Linked DNA regions of Caenorhabditis elegans. The protein of the gene in region 1 interacts with the protein of each later gene in a pairwise test. Each region holds a gene or a part of one and is shown on either strand. Other genes may lie near its edges. The genes, in order: tpst-2, ifb-2 and mpz-4.

What was found.
Region 2: the proteins of tpst-2 (region 1) and ifb-2 interact in a two-hybrid assay, tested with the Caenorhabditis elegans proteins (one large-scale study listed by BioGRID).
Region 3: the proteins of tpst-2 (region 1) and mpz-4 interact in a two-hybrid assay, tested with the Caenorhabditis elegans proteins (one large-scale study listed by BioGRID).

The regions. Positions count from the first base shown.
Region 1 is NC_003281.10:766,879-777,059, forward strand, and holds tpst-2 (Putative protein-tyrosine sulfotransferase), read left to right. Parts: upstream 1-4,379; 5' UTR 4,380-4,698; coding exon 4,699-4,736; intron 4,737-4,927; coding exon 4,928-5,054; intron 5,055-5,100; coding exon 5,101-5,295; intron 5,296-5,350; coding exon 5,351-5,559; intron 5,560-5,614; coding exon 5,615-5,825; 3' UTR 5,826-6,157; downstream 6,158-10,181. Other genes in the region: ptl-1 (Microtubule-associated protein), read left to right, coding at 1,680-1,980, 2,029-2,341, 2,410-2,496, 3,012-3,189, 3,384-3,632, 4,107-4,289; cyn-6 (Peptidyl-prolyl cis-trans isomerase 6), read left to right, coding at 6,536-6,733, 6,780-7,187; alh-11 (Aldehyde dehydrogenase domain-containing protein), read right to left, coding at 7,515-7,645, 7,696-7,772, 7,822-8,059, 8,108-8,773, 9,084-9,344, 9,983-10,127. UniProt on the Caenorhabditis elegans protein: Catalyzes the O-sulfation of tyrosine residues within acidic motifs of polypeptides, using 3'-phosphoadenylyl sulfate (PAPS) as cosubstrate.
Region 2 is NC_003280.10:5,745,692-5,757,766, forward strand, and holds ifb-2 (Intermediate filament protein ifb-2), read left to right. Parts: upstream 1-4,508; coding exon 4,509-4,572; intron 4,573-5,550; coding exon 5,551-5,744; intron 5,745-6,030; coding exon 6,031-6,152; intron 6,153-6,197; coding exon 6,198-6,557; intron 6,558-6,610; coding exon 6,611-7,030; intron 7,031-7,125; coding exon 7,126-7,176; intron 7,177-7,264; coding exon 7,265-7,342; intron 7,343-7,391; coding exon 7,392-7,415; intron 7,416-7,763; coding exon 7,764-7,911; intron 7,912-7,964; coding exon 7,965-8,072; intron 8,073-8,122; coding exon 8,123-8,287; downstream 8,288-12,075. Other genes in the region: F10C1.8 (LTD domain-containing protein), read left to right, coding at 8,789-8,832, 10,316-10,463, 10,517-10,624, 10,675-10,857; F10C1.3 (Variable outer membrane protein), read right to left, coding at 11,325-11,444, 12,021-12,038. UniProt on the Caenorhabditis elegans protein: Cytoplasmic intermediate filaments provide mechanical strength to cells. Not essential protein.
Region 3 is NC_003282.8:4,821,241-4,831,495, forward strand, and holds mpz-4 (PDZ domain-containing protein), read right to left. Parts: upstream 6,081-10,255; 5' UTR 6,026-6,080; coding exon 5,924-6,025; intron 5,626-5,923; coding exon 5,515-5,625; intron 5,467-5,514; coding exon 5,249-5,466; intron 5,202-5,248; coding exon 5,053-5,201; intron 4,998-5,052; coding exon 4,687-4,997; intron 4,642-4,686; coding exon 4,466-4,641; intron 4,422-4,465; coding exon 4,280-4,421; 3' UTR 4,248-4,279; downstream 1-4,247. Other genes in the region: tat-2 (Phospholipid-transporting ATPase), read right to left, coding at 6,836-6,871, 7,287-7,404, 7,511-7,608, 8,130-8,346, 8,566-8,894, 9,702-9,834, 10,229-10,255.

The DNA.
Region 1 (10,181 bases):
GTGAGACTTGGGCAAATAAGTGTCGCGCCACAGAAAGACCTTCCTCTTCCGAAGACAGTAATCATCGTCCGGGTGGGATCCATCACATCCACTAGTTTGAGTGTTCACCTATGTTTAATTTTCCCCTGCCTTTTTGGGTTAGTCAAGTTAGGAAAATACTGAGTGAGACAGTTTTCATATTACTGAAGTGGAAAAATACACCTCAGCAAAACTCCTCTTTAAGCTTGAAGCTCTTCAAGATCGGCAAGCTTACTTTGGGCATACTTGAATTTCAGACACAGGATAAATGAACTGAATTCTTTGTATTTCAAGCAAAATAGATATCCCTTTAATTCTTTCTGTACATATTTTGAGATGTTTTATAAACCTATTTTTGAGTGGCATCATTTGGAGAAGTTGCCAAAAATGTTAAAGTTTAGCTAGTTTTCATATACAAAAGTATCTAGCACTTTAATTTTCTAATTTTATTCAACAAAAATGAGCCCACCTAACCTGTCCACCAAAATATGCACAAAAAATATTTGCTCTCTCATTTGCGTTTTCGAGTGTATTTCTATGTTTTTTTTTGCCCGTGTTGCAATGTTTTGCTTCTCACTCGACTGTTTGTCAATTCTCACAGCTATACACCGACGGGTGTTGTCAGGAGAAGGGCGAAAAGAAAAGAAAACGCTAAATTTTTTATGGATACTTACTCTTTCCCGGGTTGACCCCGTGGAAAGCCAGTTTTTTTCTCTTTTTTTCACTTGGCAGAATGCTTTTTTTTGTTATTCCTGACCACTCTGAAGTCATGTGTCTGTAGTTTTAGAGATTTTCAATTAATTTGTAAGGAGGGGGAAAACCAATTTCTATTTGTGCTAATGTTTTTCTGAATATATTTTTCATCGAGCTTCGAAAAATGGAATATATTTTCAGTTTTATTTTTATAACCGAGCAAAACTAAAAATTGATGATTTTCCAAATTTGCCGGAAAAAGAAAACGGGAAAATGTTTCGAAAAGGCACAATTTTAAGTGTTTCCGTCCCTCATAACATTTTGGCCAAATAGGAAATTTGCCGGAATTGAAAATTTGCTGCAAATTGGCAAATCGGCAAACCTAATTAACGACCACATCGCCACATAGATCTAACAAAAGCCACTAAAATAGTAAATCCCTTATCCTTCCCTTTCTTCATTTTTATTTTCTCTTCCCAAAAGCTCTGTTGGTATTCAATTTCACATCGCATCGTGTGTCTCTCTCTCACTGTTTGTACATTATTCACTATTTCCACGCCGCCCTTTATTTAGTGTACACATATTGATGTACAATAACAATATCCCCAAAAAATTACCAATTTGTGGGTTAAATTTCGAGGAAACTGCTAATTCTCCCGTTAAACTCCACTTTGATGTTTTAAGTCCTCACAATTCTTTGATCCATCCCGATTTCGGTTTGTCGGTGTGAATTGTAAATCTCAAGGACACATTTATGGCACATTTACCATTTATCCCCCCCCCCCTTTTTTGCCTATTCACTTCTACACATGAATACACCTCCTACCACCCATCTGAATACATTGTGACACACTCAAATACACAGAAATTGACACCCTTCGGAATATTTTTGAGATATACTTCGCGTTTTGCTTCTGTGTTTGTCTTTTCAGTTTTATTGGAGAAAATTTTAAAATTATTAGTTTTAGGAAACTCAGTATAGTCAGGGCTCTTTTCCGGAGGTTGCAGTAGAACCGGAGCCCGAACCTGAACCGGAACCAGAACCTGAACCGGAGCCTGAACCGGAGCCTGAACCGGAGCCTGAACCGAAGCCTAAACCAGAAGTTGAACCGGTGCCACAACCAGAGCCTGAGCCAGAGTATCAACCTGAACCGGAGCCTGAACCAGAGGTTGAACCGGAGCCAGAACCTGAACCTGTGCCGGAGCCAGAGCCTGAACCGGAGCCAGAGCCCGAACCAGTAGTCGAGAAGGAAGAAGAAGTTGTAGTCGGTAGGTTTCAAATGTAATCTTCAGCATTCTTAATCTCTAGATTTTCAGAATCTCCTCCTCGAGAACAAGAACCTGAAAAATCTGGAAAATCCAAGCCTTCGAGTCCGATCCCCGACGCCCCAACAATGGAAGATATCGCTCCGAGAGAGCTCGAGTCTCTAAACTTTTCCGAAACGTCTGGTACCTCCGATCAACAAGCCGACAGAATTATGCAGAACAATGAAAACGAGAGAGTCGAGGAGAAGAAACAAATGAGCCCAACTCCATCACAACCCCAACATAAGACCCCACAAAGATCTGGGATTCGGCCACCAACGGCGATTCTGCGACAGCCAAAACCGATACCAGCATCTTTGCCAAGGTAATTTTTTCATTTGTTGCTCACCTAGTGACCACTCATCACAAATTCTGAGCATTTCCTTGTTTTAGGCCAGCAACTGCTACTCCCTCGTCTCAACGCGCTATTAGTACACCAAGACAAACTGCTTCAACAGCGCCATCTCCGAGACCCATATCGTGAGTGTTTATTTTTTCATAACAATTTCTCGAGTTATTTGAAGATTAAAGATGGGTTTGGTTCTGTCCGTCTTATTGTATCCAAAATACGTTTTTTTTTTTCATTTCTCTGCGCTTATATGTATTAGACGTATCTTTGCCTATTTTTTTCATTCGTGGTAGTAAATAACTAGATCTAAGTTTGCTAATGGACGTATCTATACTCATTTCCTGAAACTATCCCATAGTGAAAATACATCACCTAAACTTGGTGCGGAATATTTGTTGTCTGGGTATTGCAAAACATAATTGCTTCCTCTATTGTTGTGCACCCAACTGCTCCTATTTCTTTTATGGCACCTGCGATCTCAATTTTTCAAACTTTCTCACATTTCCACGTAGAATTTGAGTTATTACATATAGTTGTTACTTATATATAGAATGTTATCATTACTGATTGACCATAAATTGAAAATTTTGCTTGGCTTGAATAATCCCTATTATAGCCAATTAGTAAAAAAGTAACAAATCTTCAGAAAAATGTCTCGAGAACGGTCGGATGTTCAAAAATCCACGTCTACGCGAAGCATCGATAATGTTGGAAGAATGACGCCAAAGGTTAACGCCAAATTTGTAAATGTGAAGAGCAAAGTGGGAAGTGTCACCAATCATAAGGCGGGCGGCGGAAATGTGGAAATTTTCTCGGAGAAAAGAGTGAGTGAACATTAAAAAATTTTTCTGCGATTTGAGCCAATCAGATGACGTTTATGAAGGTCGCTGTTTAGCTCAAAAAAGAGCTGAACAAATCGGTCTTGTAGATCTCATTTTTGGAGAACACCAAATAAGGATGTTCGCCAGAAGTTGCATTATCAAAACCTAGATATTTTTTACACATTCAGTTATTTCAGCTCTACAACGCCCAATCCAAAGTTGGCTCCTTGAAAAACGCAACACACGTTGCCGGAGGCGGAAACGTTCAAATCGAAAACAGGAAGCTAGATTTTTCGGCAGCTTCACCAAAGGTTGGCTCGAAAACCAATTATCAGCCAGCAAAGTCTGACGTGAAGATAGTTTCGGAGAAGTTGACTTGGCAAGCTAAATCAAAAGTTGGGTCAATGGACAACGCAGCGCATAAGCCTGCTGGTGGAAATGTTCAGGTATTTTGAAGATTAAGAATTTGAAACACGAGTGAACTTGAATTTGACGTGGTGGCTTTTCATATTGCAGCTATTGATTTTCAGATATTAAGTCAAAAATTGAACTGGAAAGCCGAGAGTAAGGTTGGGTCAAAGGACAATATGAATCATCGGCCTGGTGGTGGAAATGTTCAAGTTCGTAATAAACTAGGCTACACACACAATATCACGCTTTTCTTCAGATTTTCGACGAAAAAATCCGCTACGTGTCGACGGACTCGAGCCGGAATCATTCTACGCTGGACATCAGCTCGTTATGATCGGACCACGCTTTCACTTGAATTTTACCACACCTCACTGATCTTCAGAGGTTTTGTATTTTTTCAGCAAACTGATGACCTCTTTTTGTAATAAATTTGATTATTTGAATAATTCATCTTCTCAGCACAGTTTATCATCCATCACTGGATCACAATTTGCCCCACGAAATTTCAGGTAATTTCCAGCGAAGTGGCAGTAAGTCGACCAAAAATGATGACGGCCACAATAATTGATAAGAAGAAGGATTTTGCAAAACGACAAAGTGTCTCACAGAGATCTTCAAGCAATTCTCTACTGCCCAACAAATTTCCAGGCGCCATTTATCCTCTTTCTCCTGATTTTATATTCAATCGCTGATGTATACCGCGCTTAATAATATGCTTTCAAATATTTGTGCAACTATTGAATTAATTTTTGAATATATTAACTGTTCCCAGCCGTAGTTTCTATTTGACTTCCCTGAGCATGTTGAATCGAAGAATTTTATCCCAAGGTTTCAGCTTTTTTATCTATATTTTCATTTTTTGCTTTACAATCTGTCTTTTGATATTCTCTTCAATAAAGTGGTAATTAAAAGTGTATCGTGGGTTCTACTTGAAAATGGTAATTTTTCAGTAAGAAACTTCAGGAAAAGTTAGAACAGCTAAGTCTTTCAAAAGAGAGCTTAATCTTCAATGAGCAAGATGCTCGACACTCGAGACGACTCCTCTCAAATTTGGAGCAGCTGATTTTTGTGGGTGGTGTGCCGAGAAGTGGGACTACTTTGATGAGAGCTATTCTAGATGCACATCCGGATGTTCGATGGTAAATTTAGAAAATTTCAAAAATGCGATGTATGCTGCGCTTGGCCAAAAGATCTTGAATTTCTTCTCCTTTAAAACTTTTAAACTCCGTCGAAACAAGGCTTTCTGAAGTCAAGACTTTTTCTTGACAATATGATACTTCTTATTCAGAAAAAACAAAACGTATTACTTCTGCTCACTTCAAACTTTCAGTGGCGGTGAAACCATGCTGCTTCCAAGTTTCCTTACATGGCAAGCAGGCTGGCGGAATGATTGGGTCAATAATTCAGGAATTACTCAGGAAGTATTTGACGACGCTGTTTCAGCATTCATCACTGAGGTAGTGCTCTTGTCACCGTGTTCATCTTTAATTGCAATTCATACAGATAGTCGCGAAGCACAGTGAACTAGCACCTCGTCTGTGCAACAAGGATCCATACACCGCATTGTGGCTTCCGACTATTCGCCGACTGTACCCGAATGCAAAGTTTATTCTGATGATTCGAGATGCTCGTGCCGTAGTTCATTCAATGATAGAAAGAAAAGTACCAGTTGCTGGGTATAATACGTCTGATGAAATTGTAAGGTCTCCCTAATGAAACTCTTGAATTTCTAAAGATAATTTGAAACATTTAGTCAATGTTTGTTCAGTGGAATCAGGAGCTTCGAAAAATGACTTTTCAATGCAATAATGCGCCAGGGCAATGCATAAAAGTATATTATGAACGACTGATTCAAAAACCTGCGGAAGAAATCCTACGTATCACCAACTTCCTGGATCTGCCATTTTCCCAGCAAATGCTAAGACATCAAGATTTAATTGGAGACGAAGTTGATTTAAACGAGTATGTGCTTTCTTCATTAAAACTTTTGAACTTCAACTATCTCTTAATTTTGCAGTCAAGAATTCTCTGCATCACAAGTTAAAAACTCGATAAACACTAAAGCCTTAACCTCGTGGTTTGATTGTTTTAGTGAAGAAACTCTACGAAAACTTGATGACGTGGCACCTTTTTTGGGAATTCTTGGATACGATACGTCGATTTCAAAACCCGATTATTCCACATTTGCGGATGACGATTTTTACCAATTTAAAAATTTTTATTCTTAAAGTTTTGCACTGTAACCTATAACTTTTATAGAAAATAAGATGTCCAAAGTTACCTACATCATAGATTGTTATTATTTTATTTTTATCTATAGATACAACTGTTAACCTACATCATTATCATTATCTCCCATTGTTTTCAGATAGAGGTCAAGGTAACTTTCTAATTCTCCACACTCTCTGCAACACTATAAAAAAGAATGCGCGCACGCACAAATGTCCACTATTCCGCCGGACACGGCTGCTTCCTGCAGCTGTATCGATTTTTCTTTTGTCGTTTTTTTCTTTTCGAACAGGATTTTTGAATGCATTCTTCTATATTTTTTGAAAAATAAAACTTGCAATTAATATACTTACAATTAAATACATGCTGTTGGATTTCTAGAAAATTGCTTACATTGTTAGTTAAATTAAATACTATGCATTATATTTATAAATAAAATATTTATTTATTATAACTTAGTACTTAGTACTTAAGTACTTAAAGTACAAAGTAGGGGAAAAAAGATCAGGAACTAGAAATCTTATGATTAAATTTTGATAGGCTAAATTATTAGAATTTTGTTTAACTTCAAACGATTAATTTTGAAACTAAATTCTTACTTTGAGGTTTTTTTAAAAATCATATTTTATGTCAAATCCGACTTTTACCATATACTACTCTAATTATATTACTATGAAAATGAGCATCCAAAATCTCAACAAGTTTCCAGATGAGCCGTGCTCTTCTTTTCTTCGTTCTCGCCATTCTGGCTTTGTCAGCCGAGGCACGTGGACCACGTGTCACTGACAAGGTCTTCTTTGACATGGAGATCGGAGGAAGACCTGTTGGGAAAATCGTCATCGGACTTTTCGGAGAGGTCGTGCCGAAGACAGTGAAGAATTTCGTTGAGTTGGCACAGAGAGCTGAGGTATTTCAGTTTGTTAATTAAATTCTGTAGACTTTAATATTTTCAGGGAGAAGGATACGTTGGTAGCAAGTTCCACCGTGTCATCGAAAACTTCATGATTCAAGGTGGAGACTTCACACGTGGCGACGGAACCGGTGGACGATCGATCTACGGCGAGCGCTTTGAAGATGAGAACTTCAAGCTTCAACACTACGGACCAGGATGGTTGTCAATGGCCAACGCTGGAGAAGATACCAATGGATCTCAATTTTTCATCACTACCGCCAAAACCTCATGGCTCGATGGAAAGCATGTGGTGTTCGGTAAGATCCTGGAAGGAATGGACGTAGTTCGTGAGATCGAGGCTACACCAAAAGGAGCTGGAGATCGGCCAATTGAGGATGTTGTCATCGCCAACGCTGGACATATTCCAGTAGAGAACCCATTCACTGTCGCCAGAGCAGGAGTTAATTAAACCTAATGATCTACGGGTTTTCCAATTAATATGTGTATTTTTGTTGAATGTACTATAATTACTTTCTAAAATTCTAATAAACGTGTTTTGTTTCAGTACTTGATTATACAGCGCTGTCAGGATGTGCTACGTTTTGGAACTTGTAATAGTATTAATAATTGAGCAACCTGACTTGCCAATGTTCGAAATACCAAAAACACTATATCATAACTTTGTGGAGTATTGGTTTCAATTCTGAAGTTGAAATACACTTCTAAAAGCAATAATTTATTCTCGATCCGTTCGTCTAACTAGTAAAGTATAAAGATTTGTACATTTGAAGACTCATTAGAATGGGTTGGGGCACGTTCCGGTATTGACAAAGACCGACTTCAGGTGAGTATAATGTTCGAGTACTGCTGTTCCGTTTTCACGTCCGAATCCTGATTCTCCGACTCCTCCGAATGGAACCAGTGGCGCTGAAATTACAGGTTCTTTTCTAGATCTAGTGGGATTCGGAGCAACTTACAAACATCATTATAGGTATTGACATAGACGTTTCCAGCATTCAACTGCTCAGATACTCGATAGGATCTTGAGAGGTCTCTGGAATAATGAGATTTTCATTGAACATGCTTTAATAGGGTACTCTTACTTCGTGACTAGACCCGCAGCTAATCCCATATCGGTGTCATTTGCAATTTTAATAGCTTCATCTTCGGTATCAAATGGAATGATTAGAAGTACGGATCCAAAGATTTCCTCCCGATATACTGTCATTTTGGGTGTAATGCCTGTTAAAATACATGGAGACAAGTAGAATCCATTCTCGAGGCCATGAACGGCCACACGATCTCCACCACAAAGCTTGGTGGCTCCTTCGGCAATGGCAGCTAAATAATGGTGTACTATTGAGAATCTACTTAAATTTCTAAACTTACTACTTATATACCCTTCGACTTTGTTACGATGCTCTGCAGAAATATGGGATCCAACTTGAGTATCCTCTTTCAAAGGGTCACCAATTTTCATCTTCTGCGTGTGATCTACCAACTTCTTCGTAAACTCCTTCAGCACACTTTTATGAACCAAAACTTTTGAAGCATTAGAACAAACTTGTCCCTGACTGTAGAAGTTAGCCATCATTGCACAAGACACCGCCGAGTCGATATCGGCGTCGTCGAACACGATCAATGCGGATTTTCCACCAAGTTCCAGGGTTACTGGCTTGATATTTCGATCGGCGCAGGCTTTCATGATTTTCTTTCCAGTTGGGATGCTTCCAGTGAATGATACTTTTGATACCCCATCATGATGAATGAGATCTTGTGCAGTTTCAGCGTCACCTTGAATAACATTGAACACTCCATCCGGTAGTCCAGCACTTTTCAAAATTTCAGCCAATATCAGTGCAGTTACGGGTGACAGCGGGCTGGGCTTATATATGACAGCATTTCCACAGGCCAGTGCTGGTGCAGTTTTCCAGGAGCATGTTTGAATTGGATAGTTCCAGGCACCGATGGCGGCGACCACTCCAACAGGAAGACGGCGTGTATAGGCGTAACGAGAAGCATCGAGTGGAACGTGTTGACCGAGAAGGTCAGATGCTAGATTTTGGAGATCAGGATTTGTATGTCATTTGTTGCTGATAATTATGCCAAAACGGGAGATGAGCGGGAATTTGAATTGGGTTACGTCACATATATCTTACTGTAGGCAGCCATTTAGAAAGCGCATATCTAATCAGGGTATTCGAAAATGAATTTTCTATAATTTTTTGATATCAAAATGCTATAGAACACCTACAAAACAACTCAAAAAATCAAAAATTAGAGAACGCTTATTGTTTTTTGAAAATCTCTTATCATGACTGCAGTTGTCGTCATTTTCTAGAACCAAACATTATTATGCACTTACCAATTCCGGAATAAAAATAGAAAGTGTCAACACAAGAAAGCACGTCAGCTTTTGCTTCTGCAATTGGTTTTCCATTACTAATACACTCCCAGTAGGCAATATCGTTGCAATGAGTTTTCAGAAGATCTCCAGTCTTTTTCAGAATTTCGCTTCGTTCCATCCATGAAGATTTTGCCCATTGTTTTTGTGCTTTTTTGGCTTCTTTCACTGTCAAATCGACTTGATCTCTAGTTGCATAGTGCCACGTGGCCATGGGTTTTCCTGAAAAAAATGTTTTAAACATTTTCAGATGAAAAGTTATTAAAATTGAGAAATGGAAAGATTCGATGGTTTAAAAAACATTTTTTTTCCATCTGGCAGTTTTTTTTTTTTGGAAAAAAGTCGAGAACAACTTTTTCAACTCAAAAAAATTAAATAGTTTTTTTATTTTTTTTATTTTTTGTAGATTCATATAATTTAAATCCGGGGTGGGAGGTAAATGATTTTTTCGGAAAATCCGCAAATTGCCGGAATTGAAATTTCCGGCAAATCAGCAAATTGCCGGAATTGAAATTTCCGGCAAATTGGCAAATTACCGGAATTGAACATCTCCGGCAAAACGGCAAAACGACAAATTGCCGGAATTAAACATTTCCGGCAAATCGGCAAAACGACGAATTGCCGGAATTGAAAACTTCCGGCAAATCGGCAAATTGGCAAATTGATCGATTCGAAAATTTCCGGCAAATCCGCAAATTGGCGGAATTGAAAATTTCCGGCAAATTGGTAATTTGCCGATTTGACGAACGCCGCCTGATTTAAATACATTCCTTATTCAAAAATTTGCTTGAATTTTTTTCCTGAACAGAAGTTACAGTTGTATTCAGTTGAACTTGGAAAAAAAATTAATTTTAACTTACCACTCCTGGGTTCAATCACTTCAAATTTGCGATCTGACGGGAATTCCACATGGTTTCCAGCCACAAAGTGTGATGATAATTCGAGAAGCTTCGTTTCCGTCAGGCTGTTCAGATTGATAAGATTAGGGAAGATTCGCATTTTTAACTGCAACTCAATGGATGAAAAACTAAAAATGAATTGAAATGAAAATAAAACATG
Region 2 (12,075 bases), on another chromosome or scaffold:
CTTTTACTATAACTTGACAACTTGATTCAGAGATATTGAATAAATTTATAGGTTTTCCAATTCATACTTTTTTCAAGAACCCCAATTTTTTTTCATATCTGTTTCAATAGTTTTCAACATATGTAACAAAAGAATCTTATCAGAAAATATTAAAAATGCTCGCTAGTGATGTCATTTTGATGAGAATGCTGCATTTGTCTCAAGATTTATACCGATTTTTTGCACTCCGAGAGATTGTAAGTACATACGTAAAACTCCGTGCGCAAATAGTAATAAGCTTCTTGATATTAGATTTATATAGCTTTAGAAAAGAACCGGCATTTTTTTAAATGTAAAAAATGAGACGGTATTTAAAAATATTAATTTTAGAGAATGAGTCATGTAACATTTTTCTATTTTTTCGGTATTTCTGAGAGCATTTCATTCCCATATGAAAAATCCGGTCTTTTTAATATTTTCGATTATTATGGGTACGTGTTTGCAATAATGGTAAAACTACTGAAACTAACGATAACAAAACAAAAAATAAACCGATCCGCAAGCCACAATTCATTCCCCACAGGCAAACTCCATTTTCAAAGACTAGGGACTACTAAAGATCAGAGCAATCACAGTTTTGTTTCTTTCGAATTTTGCTATTTCCCATTAGCTTTTGCATGTTGATTTCTTATAACGACCAAATTATTTCCAAACCAGCCGTGGACCGCACCTTCGGCGCGGCCCCCGACTTCTGGGGCTGAAAATTAATTTTTTATGACACTACCGTAACCCTACAGTATTCCTACCGTACCACTATTGTACCACTACAGTACCCCGACTATATCCCTACACTAACCCTAACTCACTATCCCTCCAGAAGCCAAAACTTCACAGACTACAAAGACTACATAGACTACAAACTATGGACACACAGAATAAGCGCTTTATATATAGTAAATGATGATTAGTATTTGTAAGCTTCTCCTGAAAATGGCTACAACAACTTCAGATCATTTTCCTGCAAAATTTTATTATTTATTCTAATTTTAATTGTTTTCAGTAGGTCTGCGATAAACAAAACGTTGCAGAATTGTTTCAAGCTTTTCAAGGTAATTTTCAATAAAAATTAAACGGTTTTGAGCAACCGTTTCATTTAATATAATTAGTTTTGCTATAGATAGCATTTTTAGGTCACAGGACAGTTTTCCAAAAACTTGAAATTCTCCCTTGAACGCGCTGCTCCAACTAAAAATGTAACTTTGCTCCTTGTTTCTGCCTTGTGATACCATGCTTTCTCATAGGCGTTAGTATGATTATGTTCAAGTTCACACCTTGAAGAATCTTTTTTTGAGAATAAAATAGTCTTTATTCTGAATGAAATGAACACTTGAACTATAGTATTTTAAGATTATCTAAGGGTAATATGCTTTAAATCTTTTAAAAAATCGGAGAAAATCATGATTTAGTTTTGATTTAAATATTGATCTCGCGAATATTGTTTCTAAATGTAGTCTAGTTTATAATTTAAAAAATTGTAACTGGGAAATTCTAACAAAATTCCCTGTTGATCTTATTCTGATCACTGCATTTTACAGCTATTTTGAAAATACAATATATCCATTAGGAAAAGTTCAATATTGAATTCAAAAATTTTGCATCAGCATTATCATAGCCCTTTACAATCATTTCACGTATTACTATAACTCCGCTCTAAAAACGCAAACTTCAATTCCTTTCACCTTGCACACAATTTCTTCCGTGCCATCGTGCAATTCACAACTTATCTAACAAAACGATAATAAACCGCGAAGTAACAAACGGAAGAAATCGCAAGTTCCCGGCCGCAAATTGTTTGACGCCGAAATATAATATTCCTCACTCGTTTTTTCCTAAAAGCTTATCATCAGAAACCTTTGCGTACTACAACTGAGTCTTTGGTATTTACCACCACAATGCACAAAAAATGAAAAAAGGAGATGATAGGTTTTAGGTGTAAGTCGGATTAGTGCTGCGAGGGTTGGAAAAGTGCCAAAAAGTGTGGAAGTGTAAATGAAAATGACATTTTAAAATTTATGGTGGAGCAAAAAAAACGTTCAATCTGGTCAACATTCATTCGAGAAAAAATTTAGGTGCACAAGGACACAAACTTGAATGAAATAGGCGACCAACAACGAAAAAAAGCGAGAAGTAACAAGAAGTATAAATTCAAGGTAGATATGGTACATGATTACTGTATGATTACTGTAACTAGTGAGTCAGGTGTTTGCAAAATTTTTTAGAAGAGTACTGGAAGTTTGAATAAGACTAGGGTATTAGTGTGGTTGAGGGGCAAGAAGTTTGCGGTAAACTTCAAATTCTTGAGTTTCTCCAAAATAACAGGTTCTATTTTTATTTTAAATTTGAACATGATCTACAATTTTGAAAGTTACACCAACATACATCAGAGTACTTCTGTTATCATTTTTGGAGAAACGAGTTGTACGAGGTTGAATGATTTACCTATACTTTTCAAAACTGTTTAAGATTTTTGAAAGTTCCGTTTGAAATGTCAAAAAGCTTCCATAGGGAAATCGTGTTATCCATTATAGTTGCCTAACTAGCTCCAAAAATGTTGCAAGACTCTGATTCAACGCACACTTGGCCAGAATCATTACTGTAACGTTTATTCAGCCCTTCATCACTATAGAATGTTAGTTCTCTCCTAATATGTTTTCAGATTAAACGAACTCTGAGTCATTTACTCCCCCTAGGAAGGTTCCATAAGTTATATGCTTCCTTCCCTCATCATCTGTCATTTTTAATGACTCAATGCCATTTCTCCCTCATTTAGACCACATTCCATTCCACTCAAAAACACAAAAATGTCTTCGTTTTTGCGTCCGCGTTTTATCGGTTAAAAACGATAAGGAAACTTGAGCTCTACTAGGAATTGGAGTACGCTGTTTTATCAGTTCCAACCAAGCCTGCCACACATCTGTAAACAAATGTTAGAGAATATGCGAAATGAAGAACACGATAAATGAAGTTTGAATGAAAGTACAAAGACTAGTCGTGAGGACTGAGCAAGATGTATGGAGTTGTAGAGAATACCAAAAGCAAAATTCTTTAAACATCCTGTTTTTTGGTATTCATACTTTGGCTAATTTTATAAAGTAATTGACCACAAAAATGAGAAAGAAGCATAAACGGAAGAATTGTATTAAAAAAACAAAACACTGTATTTCCAAAAATTTCAAAATTCCAATTCATGCTGATTAGCAGCTCGCGGACTTTAATATTTGAAAAAGAAGAGGTGTGGTTGATTTTTAGTTTTTTAAAGGTTAAATAATTAAAGCGATGTTTCGAATTATTTTGGAATTCCAATCATAGTTTCAATTCGATGCTTTTTCAATTTCGAAAATGCACAATTTTTAAGAACTTTTTAGCAAGGGTTTTATGACTCACAAAACTCTTTAATCAGAATAAAATGTTAACCAGAACACTTGAAAAGTTACGCTCCGCCGGTAGGTAGGTCTTCCTACCTACCTAGTTATATTCGTCTGCAATTTGGCACAAAATCTAGAGGTACAAGACAGCGCGTAGGTAACCTTCGAGTTTTTTGTGCCTACAAGGGAATTCGTTCACTGTTGCAAGATTCACCTATTTTGTTGTTATCAAATTATTGCGATGAACTTTTAAGGAATTACTGTAGCTGTTTTTTTGTGAAAAATAACACAGATGGTCTTTTTAAGATAAGACACCTCAAGTTCAGTAGACAACAAGAGTAAACAAAGTTTTTTCAGGAAATACTTGTAGCTTTTGAATTACAGTTTAAGAGAGAATTGAATTGATGAAGAGATTTTGATTGAACCTTCACATCTTCAAAATTCTAGAATTTTTAAAATTAAACATTTTTGAATATGACAATACAAGCGAAAATATTCTGTCAATTAAATCCAGATAAATTTGTAAATCCTTAAAAATTAAATTGAAAGGAATCTAGAAGACAAAATGTTTCAGTTCTGAAATATTCCATTGTTGCCGATTATGTTCTGTTGTAACCTTATTAACATTTCATTCGTCATAGTTTCTAGTAAAAAGTTTCAGACTTTGCGGTTCTTAACACCTTTTTTCAAATGTCAACTTCCTCATCATTCCCAGTCAAATGTCATTTTGTTTCATAAATACAAAGAATGTAAGAAAGAGTAGTTTCTTTTTTTCTTCTTTTCACCCCCTCCCCTCCGTTTTCCATCTCTAAACTCGGACTGATAAGTCACCATAAAAGAGAGTGGAATCGAGCATTGCCAACTGATAACCCTCTTTCTTTGCTCTCTCAAAATGCCATTGTAAAATCAAACCTACTACTCCGCGTTTTGTACGGTTTGGTGTTAAGACTCTTTATTTTTTTGAAGATTGAACGTTTATTATTGGTGTTGGTTTTTTAACTGCTGAAAGTGTGAAAATAACATTGTTTTCTTATTCTATTTATTTTTATCTTCTTTTGTTATTAACATCTTTTGTTTTATTTTCAAAATTTTAGCGACTTCATCATGTCGGCGGTTAGTTATTCGATGCACAGAACCACCACAACTACATCCTCCTCATCACACGGAGGTAAGCACTTTTCTTCAAATTTCCAACAGTCACACGACCTCGAGAGTTTTCTCCGAGGAATCCATAATATGGTGACACTAGTTTGTCTGAAATTGATCTCCTCCATTGTCTCAATCTTTTTCTTTGTTTCAAATCTCTTTGTCGGCTTTATTGACACCGTTGTGAACTCCTTTCACACATTGCCGACTAATCCTAGCAGTTTCTCTAGATTATGGGCTTAAGTTAAAATAACTGATGTTTAAATAAAACCATAAGTTTCGACAAATTAAACTCGATCTTAACTTTTAATTCACGATATCAATAAAGAATTGAGACGAGAACTGCAGCGTAGGGACAAACTGCAAAATGGCCTGTTCCTAGATGGTAGCATATAATACTTTTCAGTGAAAAATCAGATTGTTTATGACAAGATAGATCACTCTTATAAGTAGGAATTTTCTGATTGCTAGCCCAAATTGTGAAAAAAAAAGAATAAATATGCCACATTTAACCAATTTACTCTGCTCCTGCTTTGCATTACTTTGACAAATCATATCTCGATTGTTATTATTTCATCAAATAATTTTCAACACTAAAATCACTCTACATTGTTATAATTAAACAATTTTGATGAAGCCTACAACAATTAATATGAGCTGTCAAAATGAAGCAGTGGGAGTGCAAGACTAATAGGAAAAACGGTATATAACACGGAAAATTGTATATCTTAAATCTCAAAGTACAACATTAGCTGTAACTAACTCTATTTTTTAAAATTTCTATTTTAATATTGTGAAAAAATTTGGAAAACAGAGGTTTATTCAGACTTTTGTTTTACATATTCGTACTAAATTAATTTTTAAAAAATGAGTTTGTATTGCTTTTTCCAAACCCTTCACAATAAGACACTTTCACAAAATTTAGTTTATAACAATAAAAAATATGGTCCTTCTTGGAGCACTGCTTAAACATCGGAACACAGTTTACATAATATTTCAGGTGTCTCAGCCGGCCATGCCGCTGAGGAGTTCGTTGCCTCTGCCGAGCGCGAGAAGCAAGAGATGCAGCAGTTGAACTCTCGCCTTGAAGTTTACATCAGCCGTGTCCGTCAACTTGAGGATCGTAACAAGGAGCTTGTGATTGAATTGGACACCCTCCGAGGATCACTTGGAAATGACATCGGACAGATCAAGGTTTGTGCCCCGAAATTACAGGAGAATCTGAAACACTTTTAGTTGTTGACACAATTTCTCTCTTATCAGATAATATCAATTCTTCTCAAACAAAGCGCCCGTTGCCAAATGTGCAGGCGTAAGGAATTTAAAAGAGAAACTGAAAATGGCACTGATAAGATGACAAGTAGTGCTCTGGAGGAAATGGGTGTGTATGTGTGTGTTAAGATTGCCAATAAAATTAATTGAAATTGATCTTGAGGGGTTAATAATGTTGCATCAGAATAATAAACTCAACGTTTTGTAGTTCAAATTCAACGATTCGTTGGTCAAAGTTCGCCGTGAGATCTCAGAAGCTCATTCTGGAACTATTGGAGTTGAAGTTAAGGTCGACAGATTGAGAGATGATTTGAATGACTACAGACACAGGTAACAATTTATTTGCATATTCCATTCTAATGGCAAATATTTCAGATATGAAGAGGCCCGTCGTGAAGTTGAGCGTGAGAAGACCACTTGGGGAGGAGCTATTTCACAAGCACAAGCTGAGCTTGACACAAACAAGTCCCGCTATGCCGCCATTTTGGACGAGGAAAAGAGACTTTATGCTGAACAAGATCAACTCTATCTTCAATTGGCTGCCGCCAAGGATGAGCTTGACGCCGCAATTGTTGATCGCCGCCGCCTTCAAGCTGAGGAAGATGACCTCAAGATTGAGCTGGAATTCTTGGGAAGAATCCACTCTCAAGAAATCACTGAGCTTCGCACTCTTCTTGCTCAAGCTCCAGCCGACACAAGAGAGTTCTTCAAGAATGAATTGGCTCTTGCTATCAGGTTGGATTCAAAAAAAATGATATAGTTTTATTGTCTAATTTAAATTATTTCAGAGAAATCAAGGCTGAATACGACAAGATCATCCAAACCACCAGAGTTGATCTTGAGACAATCTTCCAGAGCAAGATTAGCGCCGTCGAATCATCAATCGTCTCCAAGAACGAGGCTGCCGTTTTCCGTCAAGAGGAGATCAGAAAGATGAACGAGAGCATCACCACATTGCGAGCCAAGCTCAGCGAGCTCGAAGCCCGTAACTCTGCTTTGGAGAGAGAAGCCAACACACTCCAGATTCAACTCGGAGAAGATCAAAGAGCTTACGAATCAGAGCTTCACAAGAGAGACAATGCCCTCCGATTTATGCGTGAAGACTGCCAGACTTTGATTGCTGAACTTCAAGCTCTTCTTAACACCAAACAAACTTTGGATACTGAGATTGCCATCTACAGAAAGCTTGTCGAGTCCGAGGAAGGAAGGTAATATAAGTAACAAAAATATCTCTCAAAAAGAGCAACATATACTTTAATTGATTGTCTCATTCTTCCATTTTATCATTTCCTTACTTTCACAGATTCACTCATGTTGGACAGGGGGTCGTTGTCGCCCAGCAGGAGACTACAAGGTTCGGTAGCTATAACCGCTTCATAGACATTAACATACTGCACACGTAGATATTTAGAATCTAGTTTTATTTCCTAGTTGACTTCCAGAACAGAAGGGGATTCCACTCCCGTTGTTTTAAATGATCAGCAATACTCTGACAGTCATCAATATCAGCAATATCCTGAGTAGGAATCTTTAATAGAATCAAGATATATTATATGTAATACCTTTCAGAGTGTATCCGCAAGGAACTTTAAGGTATCCTAGATTGTAGATTAGTTATTCATAGTATAGTTTTCATAGATCATCTCAACATCAAATTGGCAGAGGTACCAATGTACTAGTTTCAGATCAAAGGTTACTCGTAGTGATACAGTAGTTTATAGCTAATTGCTTTCACAATTCATGCTCTTTCACTTGCACTTTTTCTCTTTTTCACGCACTTCCTTATCTCAACACACTGCTTACTTTTCACATCACCTATTTATCATTTTCTTGGCTAACAATTTTTGTTAGTCAGCAAATCTCAAGGCTTTTAGCTGAAAACATGCACTTTCAGCTTAATCTATCCCCGTTAATTTTAAATTGTTATATTAAATTCTACAGATTGGTACCAGTCGAGCAAGATCACTGGGACTCTGGAGAGGTTCAAACTCGTTCCTCATTCAAGAGACACGCTAAGGGAAATGTGAGCATCGTTGAGTGCGATCCACAAGGAAAGTACATCATTCTTGAAAACACCAGTGGATCAGTTGTGAGTTTAGATCTTTATTTTTATTTTGAACATGAAAAATTGGAAAATTGCAGGCCGAAGATGTAAGCAACTTTGAAATCCGTCGTGTTATTGATGGAGTTCAAGCCTTCGTTTTCCGTCTCCCATCTCACTTAGTTATTCAACAACACGGACATCTTAAGGTATTAATTATTATAAAATTAGATATCATATTGAAACCGGAATATTACAGATCTACGGACGCAATTCAGGAGGAATTAACTCACCACCAGACTCAATTGTGATGGAATCTCACCCATCATGGGGACAAGGAGGACAAGTTGAAACATTCTTGTACAATAGTCACGGAATTGAGAAGGCTTCGCACATCCAGACGACGGTCGCTTCTTCCCGTTAAGAAATCTCCATCATCTAATCGATTTCTTTTTCGATGAATTTAAATTTATTCTGAAATGCCCATTGAATCCTTTCCTTGCTGTCTTCACTCCCAAAATCATTCGACGTACATACTTGCTACATTCCAATCCAATTGTTTTTTGAAATAAATTGTTCAATATTGTTTTAGTTCAAAATCATTGATGATTAAAAGAAGTGTACTTATCACGATACTTCCCAAAAAAAATTTCTTGGTCAAAAGTGGGTCACGATAACTCGGTCTAAAACCATTTCTAAAAAAAATTTTTTTCGCTTTTTTTTTCGACAATTGTTTTAAGCCATTTAGTTATGGTTTTCGAAGGTTTTTTATAATAGTAATAATAATTAAAATTAGGAGTGGTTTTGAACCGAGTTGTCGTGACTCGCTCTTGACTGAGACTACATTAAAATACATTCTACAGAATTTTTGGAAATGATTGAACACGTTGCAAGCTGTACATATATTTTTCAGCACTAAGGGAAAATGCAATCCAGAACTATAATACCAAATTCGAACGGCAGAACCAGGTGGATGCGCTTTTGTATGAAATAATGAAACTTTTCTACCAGTTAAACGTTCTTAATATTAGGTTGGACCGGAAGTCTTTATAACTGGGTTTGCATTGTAAGCAACACCTCATTCCCTTCCCTCTGGGCTGAAGTTAGTTAACCAACGATGTATGTCCCTAGTGCGATCCACATCCGATATGGTTTGATGTACCTCTTTCTCTCTCATACCACGATGAAGGATTCGGAAAGTCTCCTCAAGAATGTTTATGATTCACATGTCCTCTACAATAATATCAAACGCAATTGGTTCCAAAGCTTCGAGAAGGACGAATTTTCTCTCGAAGACTCTGAGACCCCATAAATTGGATTTGGACACGTTGCAGAAAGCCGTGGCAACGGATCCTTTCCAAACCACCCGTGAGCTGTCAACCACACTTGAGCCCCGTCAAACCAACATTGTACGAGGCTGGGAACCTCTTGGAATAAAGAAACGTATGGGTCGATTCATACCTCACATTTTGACACAAGCGAACCTTTATTTTTTAGTGGGTGATTCCTTTTCCCTCCTCATTTTCCACGGGGCCGATCAATGGTTGGGCCGGCTCATTACTGGTAACGAGAAGTGGGTCCTCTACGTTAACAACCACAAGCGTGCTCAGTGGATTGGAGAAGGAGAGACACCACAGGATGCCGCCAAACCCGACCTTCACCCCAAAAAAGGCATGCTCTCAGTGAGGTGGGGAGTGTACGGCCCCATCTACTGGGAACTGCTACCTGAGGGTAAAATAATTTGTGGGGACATCTACGTTATCTAACCATGAAACCTGAAGAAAGTCATCGATCGTTAACCCTTGAAGTACAAGCAACTCTATTTTCAGCAAAACAATGCTAGTCCCCATCTCTCGAAACAAGTATAGTAGGAACAGACCAGCCATGGTTGAATGGTACTCCTTCACGCACCGTATTCTCCAGACCTCACTCCATCTGAATACTAGTCGTTTTCAAATATGACCCGTGTCCACGAGCAGAGAATCTTCAACACCCATAAAAGTACCAATGTGGCACTCAAGCATTATTTCGACTCGCGCCCGGAAGGGTTCTGTTAGCAGGGCATTAATAAGTTGCCCACATGTAGACAGTATATTGTTGATAATGATAGCAAATAAAATTTATCCTGTCGTTTCTCTTGCTTCGAGAAATAAAAGATTGAAAAAGTAATAAAGACTTCCGGACCAACCTAATACATGTAACATCTTAATTTAAAAATTGGGAAGATTTATTATCAAGTACTAAGTCATGCTTGCTGGCTTGGCTCATAATTTAAAATAGTTTAATGTGTTGATAATTTATTGGTAGTTGTAAATAATATTATACAATAACATTTTGAAGATTGGTAGTCGAGCAGGGCCACGGTTATCCAAGCGAAGTTCAAAAACGTTTCTGGTTGCACTTTCAGCTTATTTCCCCCGTTAGTTTTGAATTGTTATATTAAATTCTACAGATTGGTACCAGTCGAGCAAGATCACTGGGACTCTGGAGAGGTTCAAACTCGTTCCTCATTCAAGAGACACGCTAAGGGAAATGTGAGCATCGTTGAGTGCGATCCACAAGGAAAGTACATCATTCTTGAAAACACCAGTGGATCAGTTGTGAGTTTAGATCTTTATTTTTATTTTGAACATGAAAAATTGGAAAATTGCAGGCCGAAGATGTAAGCAACTTTGAAATCCGTCGTGTTATTGATGGAGTTCAAGCCTTCGTTTTCCGTCTCCCATCTCACTTAGTTATTCAACAACACGGACATCTTAAGGTAATAATTATTATAAAATTAGATATCATATTGAAACCGGAATATTACAGATTTACGGGCGCAATGCAGGAGAAATTAACCTAACACCAGACTCAATTGTGATGGAATCTCACGCATCATGGGGACAAGGAAGACAAGCTGAAACATTCTTGTACAATAGTCACGGAATTGAAAAGGCTTCGCACATTCTAATCGATCGTTTCCTTCAGTTATTACACCCATCATCTAATTAATCTCATTACGATTAATCGTTTCAAATAATACTTTAATCATTCCTATATATGTATATTTAATTTTCCGTTGCAAAGATGAAACCAAAAAGAAACATTATTTGTTTTCTAAATGAACAAAAATAAAAATTTCAGTATGAATGAAGTTTCATTAAATTAATATAATATTGTTGATCAAGTTTAACATATAATAAAAATCTATTCTAACATGAGCTTCAAAATGTGAACGTCAACAGCTTCTGAGTCAAGCAGTAATTTTCAGCTTGACCAGAACTTCTTTCAAAAAGGGTGAGTGTGAGTTTTTCCAAAATGAAAGCCGCTTGTGTATGAAATGTGATAACGAATAAAACTCAAATATTTATTCAAAATATTCAAATACAAAACTACTGGAGGAGGTCTTCTTTAGAAGAAGACGATGAAAAAGCATTGAAGACGTCTTTTGTTGATTGGTGGTGTCGATGGAGTTCCAACTACTTCTTGTCTCCTGCAGCAAGATCCTCGTACACTGAATCCTTCTTCTCTCCTTTCGTTCCTCCTTTCTTTCCTCCACAGAAGATTGCCACGGCCGGTAAGACGGTAACAGCAAGGGCCTGAAATATTTATATGAAAAATTTGTTAAAGTAGTATTCAAAATTCGACTGTTTGCCGTATTCCATCAATCAGTCCAGAATGCTCTATAACCTTGCACTTTTTGACTTTTCAATGGTTCTAAATCGAATCCACGCTTTACTTGTGACTTGTACAAAATGTTTCACAAACAGTGAGCAGAATGGATTCATCGCTATCGAGGATCGGGATTTGCGCATTAAAAAACGATAATTTTCAAAAGTTCCAAGTAGCGGTCTGTGCATTGTAGTTGGTACTGTTGGCGATCTCTCTTCGTCTCCTCTATTAAATGCATATGCCAATGCTGTTAAATTCCTGATGATCACAGCTAGTAGTCTCGCATCCTTTTACATAGCAATCATAAATTGGAGTATCACTAAACGGTCATTCACAAGAGTTCCGGGTAGCGACGTGTGCACTGTATTTGATATTATTGGTTAATTCCTGAGTAGCACAGCTGTTTAGTCTCGCACCCGTATACAGACCAATCACAAATTAGAGCAATCCAGACTGATTATAGGAATACGGCAAATCTCTGAAAACTCTGAAAACAAACTCACAAATGAAGCGATTATCATATTCGCTGGACAACGTCGACTTCCGAAATTTTTCTGA
Region 3 (10,255 bases), on another chromosome or scaffold:
ATCAGAACATTGGTGACACGTGGTTTTGGAATTTAGATGGTAAACGTCTTTTTGATTTTTTTAAAAACGCATGAAAATTCTTTTATGAAATCGCTGAAATGTCATAAATTCTACTTGTAAAATATTTTTCATATTTCACATAAATAAAGGAATCAGTTCAGTTCATGTCTCAATACTCATGAGCCAGTGCAATACAATAAAAAAGTCGTTTTGGTTTTTTTTCGAAAGATATTGCGTACGAAAAACTTAAAACAATTTGATAATTATCTTGAGACACAACGTTCCTAATTTGATAACAATATGTTTCCGTTTTAATCAAAGAACTGGGTTGGTTAAACTAGACAAATTGTGATCGAAAAAAGTGGTTGAAATGAATTCTTATATCAAGTTTTTCTGAATCTCGTATCTTAAAGGGCATGGATTTATTCAGATGGGCCTTACCGCACAAAAATGCATAAAATGTGTATTTGGTAGCAAGAATTAATTAAGTTTTTCTAAAGTTATTCAATTGTCGAATTTTCATTTGAAAACCGTGTTAAAAAGCGATAATTGTCTTTTTTCGTGGCGAGACCCATCCAACTATGAGCACTTGATTCAGAGAATTGCAAGCTACAATATTAAAAAAAAACGCAACTAATATGAAAAAAAGTTAAACTAAAACCATTGGAATCAAAACCTGAAAATCTTTTATCAAACTGTCTGTGACGTGAAAACTCTCTAAACTCCGCCCTGTCGCAATTCTTAGAGATAGGATACAGAGAGAAAAATGGGAAACCAAATTTGACATTTTTTGTTATTACCTTGATTGATAAAATATAAAATTTGAAATTGAAAACCGAATGTAAACTGTCAATAATATTTTGAGAGGAGATAAGAAACAAATTAGTGAATTGTGTTTTGTTTCCTAGCTAAAAAATTGAACAAATAGAGGGAGAACCACCGGAAAATATCATAGATCAATAAAAAATAGGCACATCGATCATAGGAATTAGTGTTGGCTTATGGTAATTTCGTGGGGAAATTTGTGACAATGAATAATAAGTATGTTTAAATCCAGTTTCCACAATCAACTGTAGGAACAAGCTGGAGCAAAAAATCAGCGGTCTCGTGGTGTAGTGATTATCACATCTCACAGGTAAAGCGCATTTATTAAGCAAAAATCGTAATATATGAAAATTATCATTAATCGGTTGTAGACCTCTGACGGTGTTGTGGCTAGCTTGTTGTTTTTCCTCGTTGTGTCTTTCAGCCATTTCCAGCCAGCAACCATCTCCGCGGAAATCGATTTTCTGGGAAAAAAAATGAATTAATGACTTGAAAATAGTATTTGTATTTTAAAAATATATAAAAGCTCATTTTTTCAAAAATTCAAAAGTCCTGTAAAATCATATGGAGTCATTCTTTTTTATTTCATAAAACTATTCAGCATAGTCAAAAACACCAGAATCTGTCAATCAAAGTATAATAGCTTGTACGGAAGTATTTTTTTAAAAATTGATAAAAATATATAAAAGCTGATTTTTTCAAAAATTCAAAAGTCCTGAAAAATCATATGGAGTCATTCTTTTTTATTTTATAAAACTCTTCAGCATAGTCAAAAATATCAGAATATGCCAATCAAAGTATAATAGCTTGTACGGAAGTTTTTTTTTAAAAATTGATAAAATTATAAAAAAAACTGATTTTTTCATAAATTCAAAAGTCCTGAAAAATCATATGGAGTCATTCTTTTTTATTTCATAAAACTCTTCAGCATAGTCAAAAATACCAGAATATGTCAATCACAGTATAATAGCTTGTACGGAAGTATTTTTTTAAAAATTGATAATATTATGATAAAGCTGATTTTTTCAAAAATTCAAAAGTCCTGAAAAATCATATGGAGTCATTCTTAATTATTTCATAAAACTCTTCAGCATAGTCAAAAATACCAGAATCTGTCAATCAAAGTATAATAGCTTGTACGGGTGTTTTTTTAAAAATTGATAAAAATATATAAAAGCTGATTTTTTCAAAAATTCAAAAGTCCTGAAAAATCATATGGAGTCATTCTTTTTTATTTCATAAAACTATTCAGCATAGTCAAAAATACCAGAATCTGTCAATCAAAGTATAATAGCTTGTACGGAAGTATTTTTTTAAAAATTGATAAAAATATATAAAAGCTCATTTTTTCAAAAATTCAAAAGTATGGGAAAATCATATGGAGTCATTCTTTTTTATTACATAAAACTGCTCAGCATAGTCAAAAACACCAGAATCTGTCAATCAAAGTATAATAGCTTGTACGGAAGTATTTTTTTAAAAATTGATAAAAATATATAAAAGCTGATTTTTTCAAAAATTCAAAAGTCCTGTAAAATCATATGGAGTCATTCTTTTTTATTTCATAAAACTATTCAGCATAGTCAAAAATACCAGAATCTGTCAATCAAAGTATAATAGCTTGTACGGAAGTATTTTTTTAAAAATTGATAAAAATATATAAAAGCTGATTTTTTCAAAAATTCAAAAGTCCTGTAAAATCATATGGAGTCATTCTTTTTTATTTCATAAAACTATTCAGCATAGTCAAAAACACCAGAATCTGTCAATCAAAGTATAATAGCTTGTACGGAAGTATTTTTTTAAAAATTGATAAAAATATATAAAAGCTGATTTTTTCAAAAATTCAAAAGTCCTGTAAAATCATATGGAGTCATTCTTTTTTATTTCATAAAACTCTTAAGCATAGTCAAAATAGCAGCAGATGCCGAACAGAGTATAATAGCTTGTACGGGTGTTTTTTTTTAATTGATAAAAATATATAAAAGCTGATTTTCAAAAAATTTTTCGGGAATTTGAAATGATTGAATAACACATCTAGCTTGAATAATGTTTAACTAAGTATTTTCCACAGCCATTACCAGCCAGCAACCATCTCCGCGGAAATCGATTTCCGGGAAGAAAAATGAATTAATGGCTTGAAAATAGTATTTGTATATTAAAAATATATAAAAGCTCATTTTTTCAAAAATTCAAAAGTATGGGAAAATCATATGGAGTCATTCTTTTTTATTTCATAAAACTATTCAGCATAGTCAAAAATACCAGAATCTGTCAATCAAAGTATAATAGCTTGTACGGAAGTATTTTTTTAAAAATTGATAAAAATATATAAAAGCTGATTTTTTCAAAAATTCAAAAGTCCTGAAAAATCATATGGAGTCATTCTTTTTTATTTCATAAAACTATTCAGCATAGTCAAAAATACCAGAATCTGTCAATCAAAGTATAATAGCTTGTACGGAAGTATTTTTTTAAAAATTGATAAAAATATATAAAAGCTCATTTTTTCAAAAATTCAAAAGTATGGGAAAATCATATGGAGTCATTCTTTTTTATTACATAAAACTGCTCAGCATAGTCAAAAACACCAGAATCTGTCAATCAAAGTATAATAGCTTGTACGGAAGTATTTTTTTAAAAATTGATAAAAATATATAAAAGCTGATTTTTTCAAAAATTCAAAAGTCCTGTAAAATCATATGGAGTCATTCTTTTTTATTTCATAAAACTATTCAGCATAGTCAAAAATACCAGAATCTGTCAATCAAAGTATAATAGCTTGTACGGAAGTATTTTTTTAAAAATTGATAAAAATATATAAAAGCTGATTTTTTCAAAAATTCAAAAGTCCTGTAAAATCATATGGAGTCATTCTTTTTTATTTCATAAAACTATTCAGCATAGTCAAAAACACCAGAATCTGTCAATCAAAGTATAATAGCTTGTACGGAAGTATTTTTTTAAAAATTGATAAAAATATATAAAAGCTGATTTTTTCAAAAATTCAAAAGTCCTGTAAAATCATATGGAGTCATTCTTTTTTATTTCATAAAACTCTTAAGCATAGTCAAAAATAGCAGCAAATGCCGAACAGAGTATAATAGCTTGTACGGGTGTTTTTTTTTAATTGATAAAAATATATAAAAGCTGATTTTCAAAAAAATTTTTCGGAAATTTGAAATGATTGAATAAAACAATCTAGCTGAAATTAATGTTTAACTAAAGTATTTTCCAAAAAATGTTAAATTGTTCCATCACCGATGTTAGATTTTCCAATAATTAAAAAAAAAATTTTTAGGTGCGACCCATCATTGGCTTTTTAGCGGGCCTTCACGTACATTTGGTTAATGTCTCGCTTTTAGCGCTTTACCTGTGCTGTCTAACACACAGAAGGTCGGTGGTTCGAGCCCGCCCGAGATCAGTCAAATGTTTTATTAAAGAAGAATGAAGTTCATTTTTTAACCGGCATGTTCGAAGATGCCGATTCGGTCACCTTGGTCTTCAGCGGCGGGAGCCAAACGAAAAGCTTCGAGTTCCATTCCGCCGGAATAAAAAATTCTTCAGTTGTGTTGTTGAATCCAACAGCCGGGTCCCTGAATTAGTTGAAGATTTTATCTTAATTTATTTAAAAACATACTTTTTGGTAACTTTCGCATCACTCTTCTTCTTCCCAACTTCTCCCGGCCCTTCTTCCTCTTTTAAAATGGGAGCCAACGCTTTTCCATTTTTCAGAGCTTCAATTCCTTCTACAAAGTATTTACGGACATCTCCACAAAGCAAGTATTGCGGTCGTTCGGCAGTTCTCATAACATTCTGCAATTAAAATAGAAGAAAAAAAATGTGAGGCAAATAACCAACTGCAAGCTGTCCCCGAACCATATTTTTGATTGGATCCGTATTCGGATACTCAACCAACAATCGAATCCATCCATTCGCCTCAAATCCTTCGCGAAATCGTTGACGATTATCTGCCAGAGTGTTGATTGGTTTATCATCAACAGCAATAATAGCTTCACCAATATTCAAACTACAATGTGAAACTGAATCCGGAATAGTGTAGTTGACCACCACTTTTCTGTCGACCTGCTGCACGTTCAGACCAAGCTGCAGGTATTTGAATTGGTAGAGAATGGCCAAATCGATGGTGTGATCCTGTGTGGCTAAGATACCTGAAATTATATGAAAATTACTGTTTCACAATAAGAAACAAATATTCAAACTTACCATTTGGAATCTTAGACGTAGACATTCTGTTCTTCAATCTAGCGACCAGAACCGTAATCTTTGTCTCAGATTTTGAGTTCAAAATCTTTCCGACAACAACCTTGAAGTCTGGATAAAGTGAATGTGGTGCTCTCACAGGTTCAGTTTTCCTTAATAAGGTAAATATTTTTCAAGTTTTCATAACATTTGTCCTTACGGTGTAGTCGTTGGCTTCCTCTTAACAGTCTTCACATTTGACTGGAGACTTGCTCCACCGGTGGTCTCGTCGACATGCTCTGTCAATTGTTTCTCATCGAATGAGACAGTCGTACCGTTCACTTGCAAGATGATGTCACCCGGTAGAATTGCTCCTTTGAATGGGCTCGCGTAATGAACACGAGTGACCAACCCATGTCGATTGACGAGTCCGAGTTGCTGGAAATCAAAAACGTTTTACATAAAGTCATTGATGATGTCGCTTACCGTTATTTTATCCTTCTTTGGGAGCTCAAATGTGGCCTCTACAAGCATTTTGTAGCTGTTTGGAACTGGTTCTCCACGCAGAATGACCACATCTTTGACTCGAGCTTCTATCTGAAATACGTGTTTCTAGAATAGAAATAACTTTTAAAATAAAATTATGTTTCACTACTAGTGTACCATTAAAAAAACCATTAAACCATTAAAAAAAAGAAAGTTTGATTCTATAATAAAATATTCTTTCGAACACCCCCGACTGCCTCAATTACTTAGTTCAAGAAATATTGTTCACAATGAAGAAAAATAAATTAATTATTAAAAAAATCTTGAATAAAGTTCAAAAATTATTATTCAAATTTCTCACTGTTTCGATTCCAAATCCAACTTCCAAATTCCAAAAAACCCCTCTCACCTCTCCCTTCTTGAATCCGGGCCGCTCCCAAACCGTGTCTATTCCCTCTGCACCTTCCGGATAGATTTTATATTTGACTGCAGGTGGAATTTCTTGTGGCATCTTTTCAAGCTATCAAATGCTTTGAATTGAATTTGTTTGATACTTGAATTATCGATTGTTGTGAAATAAATTAGAATCGAGAAGAACAATGATAAGAGGGGGTGGGGGGGAGGGAATAAAAAATTAGAGCAATTGATCGAACGTGAAGATAAAATATCAAAGGTCAGAATTATTAAATCTTTTTCAACGTGATTTTCTAACTTTTTTTTAGAACTGAACTTATTGAGAATGTTTTCGGCATAAAACTGCAAAATCGCGTGATTCAAAATCAATCATTTATGTTTTATGTTTTTTCTTGGGACACGATTCGTATGGAATCGTATTAAAATAAATAAATAAATAAATCGTTGAAACGTGTGAGTTTGAAAATTACTTACCAACGAAGCAAATTAAATTGTGAAATCCAAACTTTTTCACCAATTTCGAGAAACTATAGAATTTTTTAAAAACTGTTACTTTGTGTTACCTTTGTTAAAAAAAAGTAATAATAATGTCTTGAAACTGCATTTTTTTTTGAAATTTTTTTCTGCCACTGCTTGTTTAATTAAATTTTTATAGACACTGATATATTAATCAACAACAAGAATATGAACAATTATTTATTGAATATTTCAAAAATTACACGATTGGAATACATCATAAATTACCCATTTTGATATCAATCACATTATCAGCGATCACCAATTATATAATTACAGCAAATTGAAGAAAAAGAGCAAACAAAACCCAATTGAGAGCCTAAAACCGGTGCCTACAAGACGGGGAAGAATGTTTGAAAGAAAATCGGAAAATAAATGCAAAAAATGAATTTTAAAGGCGAGTGATTACGTCTGGTTGTTCTTCGACCTGTTGGAAAAATAAAATATTATATTTAGAAAAAATGTATCAAAAGTAAATTTATTGCAAAAAAAATGAATTAAAGTTGAAAACTAACAGAAAAAGGGTCAAAGCACAAAGGGTTCAAATGAAAGCACACACTGCACTGCACGAGATCAAAAAGTAGGTCAAAAGTGAATAAATTACAGTATTCCATAGGAGTACTGTATGTTGAATAGTTGTAATCTCAAAATGCATAAAAATTAATATTTAAAAAGAAAAAAATTAAGTTCTAACTATAATAAATAAGTAACACACAAACACAAGTACACACAAAATTAGATAATTTGAGCAAATTGAAACAAATAAGAATTCATTATGAAAATTATTTACAAACGCCAGATTTGGATAAAAAGCGGCAGAACCGGATGGAGCACAATTATACCTGAGTTTCCCGCGAATACACGTGGTTTCTATGGCTCCGTCCATCGCCACGGATTACTGTACCCTGCAGTGGTGATGGTTCCTTTGCATAGGCTGGACGGAAATCCGATGATTGAGACCTGTGAATAAATGGCACACAATAGAGTTACAATAGAAGTACGGTAAGTATATCAGAAGTGAAGCAACGTGCTTTAGAAGTGTGTAAAATTTTATGTGAAAACTTACCAGTCATCAGTATTTACATTCAATGTATGGGGTACATTCTGTGGACGTGTACCCATTGGAAGGTGCATTGCATTAATACTTGAAGCTCCTTGGCTGTCCTGAAATATATTATATTAGAAGGGCAAATGGATAATTTTTTGTAAAAACAAAACTGAAAAGTTAGCCCATAAGTATGTTACCCTTGAGATTTTAAAAATTACTGCTTCAAAGTTTTACTGCCTTCAAACAAAGTGAAAAAAAGTTTTGTTCGAAAAATTTAATGGAATGTTTCAACAACATTATAAATTAATAAATATGATTACTGTACAATTAGTAGTGGGACGTGAACTTATTTTGAGTTTGGTTATTCATGGCTAAAAGCATGAAAAATGTCTCGGATAATGCTAACATTTGAAAACAATTAAATTCTAAATGGAAATTTGTCTGTAACTGCACAAAGTTGCAAAAAGTTGAAAAAAAGTTATTTGAAATTTTCCGAAATTATTGTTTCAAAGATTTTTTAAAAATTGCTGATTATCTTTTATTCACTGGGAGTAGTAATTTCATTTTCTGTCTAGGTTTAAATTATCTAGGTTTCCGATTCTCATGCCAAAAAATTTTAAATTCACATTGAACTTACATCAGGCACACTAGAAATAAGCATCGGCTGCAAGTCATCAGAAGTCGGGTGAATTTTCGCATTCGAATTATTCTTTCCCCGTAGATTTTCCACATTTTTGAACAATTTTCCTTTGAGAATGAGTTCTCCGAATCCTTGTGAATGAGAGAATGCGTAACCACTTCTAAGTGATCCACGGACACTTCGTCGAGTTGCTGCCGTGCGTTTGAATGCGGTTCTGAAAGTATTTATTTAAAAAAATAAATTTAATGAAAATTTCAAAACGTTTAAACGATTTCTTGAATGATAGAAACTAAGTTTGAAATTGAATTATGTATGTGAGTACAATTTTTAATCACTATTTCATGCTATCTTCAAATATGGAGCTTCATCGAATAGTATAGTGCTATTGCGAATTGACCTGATCGCACATTAAAATTTTGAAAAGCGAACATACTTTTTATCATCTTTCGCCGATGGTTTCTTGCCCATTTTCTTTCGAATTCTCAGCCTATCAGCAAATGATGGATGTGTATCAAGCCAGAAGAATCGATTAAGCATAACTGGTAGTAACAGTACAACTGAAACCATTAGAATTGAAAACCAGAAGTGAGGAGTAACCATTGTTCGAAAAGCGACACCATATGAGATTGAAGATGATGTTTTGACAATCCATGAAACTGGAAGCCATTCGTAAAGAAGGAAGCAAACAAGGAAATACAGAACAAGTGATCCCCAGATTACAAAATGCGAAATTGCCGTCCAATAACTCGTGTCGAAGGCTATCTGAAAAATTTGAACTTTTGAAAAAAAAAATTATGTTTCAGAAATGTATCAAATTTTTTGACAAAATTAAAAAGCTTATTATTTCTTCTCAAGTTTCAAATAAACAGTTTCAATAAAAAGATACCCATTGTGGTATATGTTAAATTGTGTATAATTATCTTGTGAAAATGTTGAATTTTTTTTTTCATGATCAGTTAAAAAAATCTGCTTCATAAAATGCATTAATTGGTTGTGGTAGTGTAGCTCAAAAATGAGCGGCAAACGATTGTTTCCGGCAAATCGGCAAATTACCGATTTTCCGAATTTGCCGAAAATTTGAAAAAAAATTGTGGCTTTGCATTTTTTTTTCTGGAAATTTTAGAATTTCAATTTCAATCGACAGAATCGTAGGCATTCTATAAATGTTCGGACATCTATTTTGAAAAAAAGTAAACTCTATGAAAATATCTAGAAAAAACGGGGAAAAATTTCAAAAAGCACAGGTTTAAGAGCTTCCGTCTTATAAAAAATCCCTCTGAGAACTTCCGGAAGATTGATGTTCGGTCAACGGAAAGTTGACAATTCGCCTAAAATAAAAATTTGCGGCAAATCGACAAGCCGGCAAATTTTGCCGAACGGTAATCTACATTTTCTACTATTTTTTATGAATATTGAATACTATTGCGTTGCCTTCTTTGTCTAAACTAATTCTTATCAAAGTTTCAATCAAATCACATATACTTTTATTCTCAAAGTATGTTTCAATATGGTCACAAAATGTTTAGAACAATTGATTTACGCTAAATTGAAATTTAAAAAAACCCATACCTGTCCAGTAACAACTACAACTAATGCAGTAAAAGTAGTGAAAGCAAGAGCCGAGTAATCGTCCAAATCCTTTCCAGAAGCAGCAGCTGCGTTGTAAAATGCACCATATGGAATGAAGAATATCACAAGGGAACTGCAACAAATATATGTTTGAAGTATTCTGAGAAGCTATGAAAGAAATGTTATGAATATAAATATTTTTTAAAAAAATTTTTCTATTTTATTAACTTTTGAAAATGAATTTTTTTTTTCATAATTTTGTCTGTTTCAATAAGTTGGAACAAGCGTAAAATGATTGGGGATCACCTTGATTTGGCAAATCTTTTAAGAAAAAATAAAGAAATCTCATCATGAACTTTCTTGACTTTTCTTGACTGAGAAATGTGATAGCAGAAATATTTTTTAAAGAAGCAATACAAGAACAAATAATTACCAAAACTGTATTTCTTATAAATTTTTTGAAACAGTAGAATTTTTTGTTTAAAAGCAATTGTTTTACTTTTAAAGTTTACTGTTTAATTCCTTACCTAAACATTCCATGAAGTACAGAATAA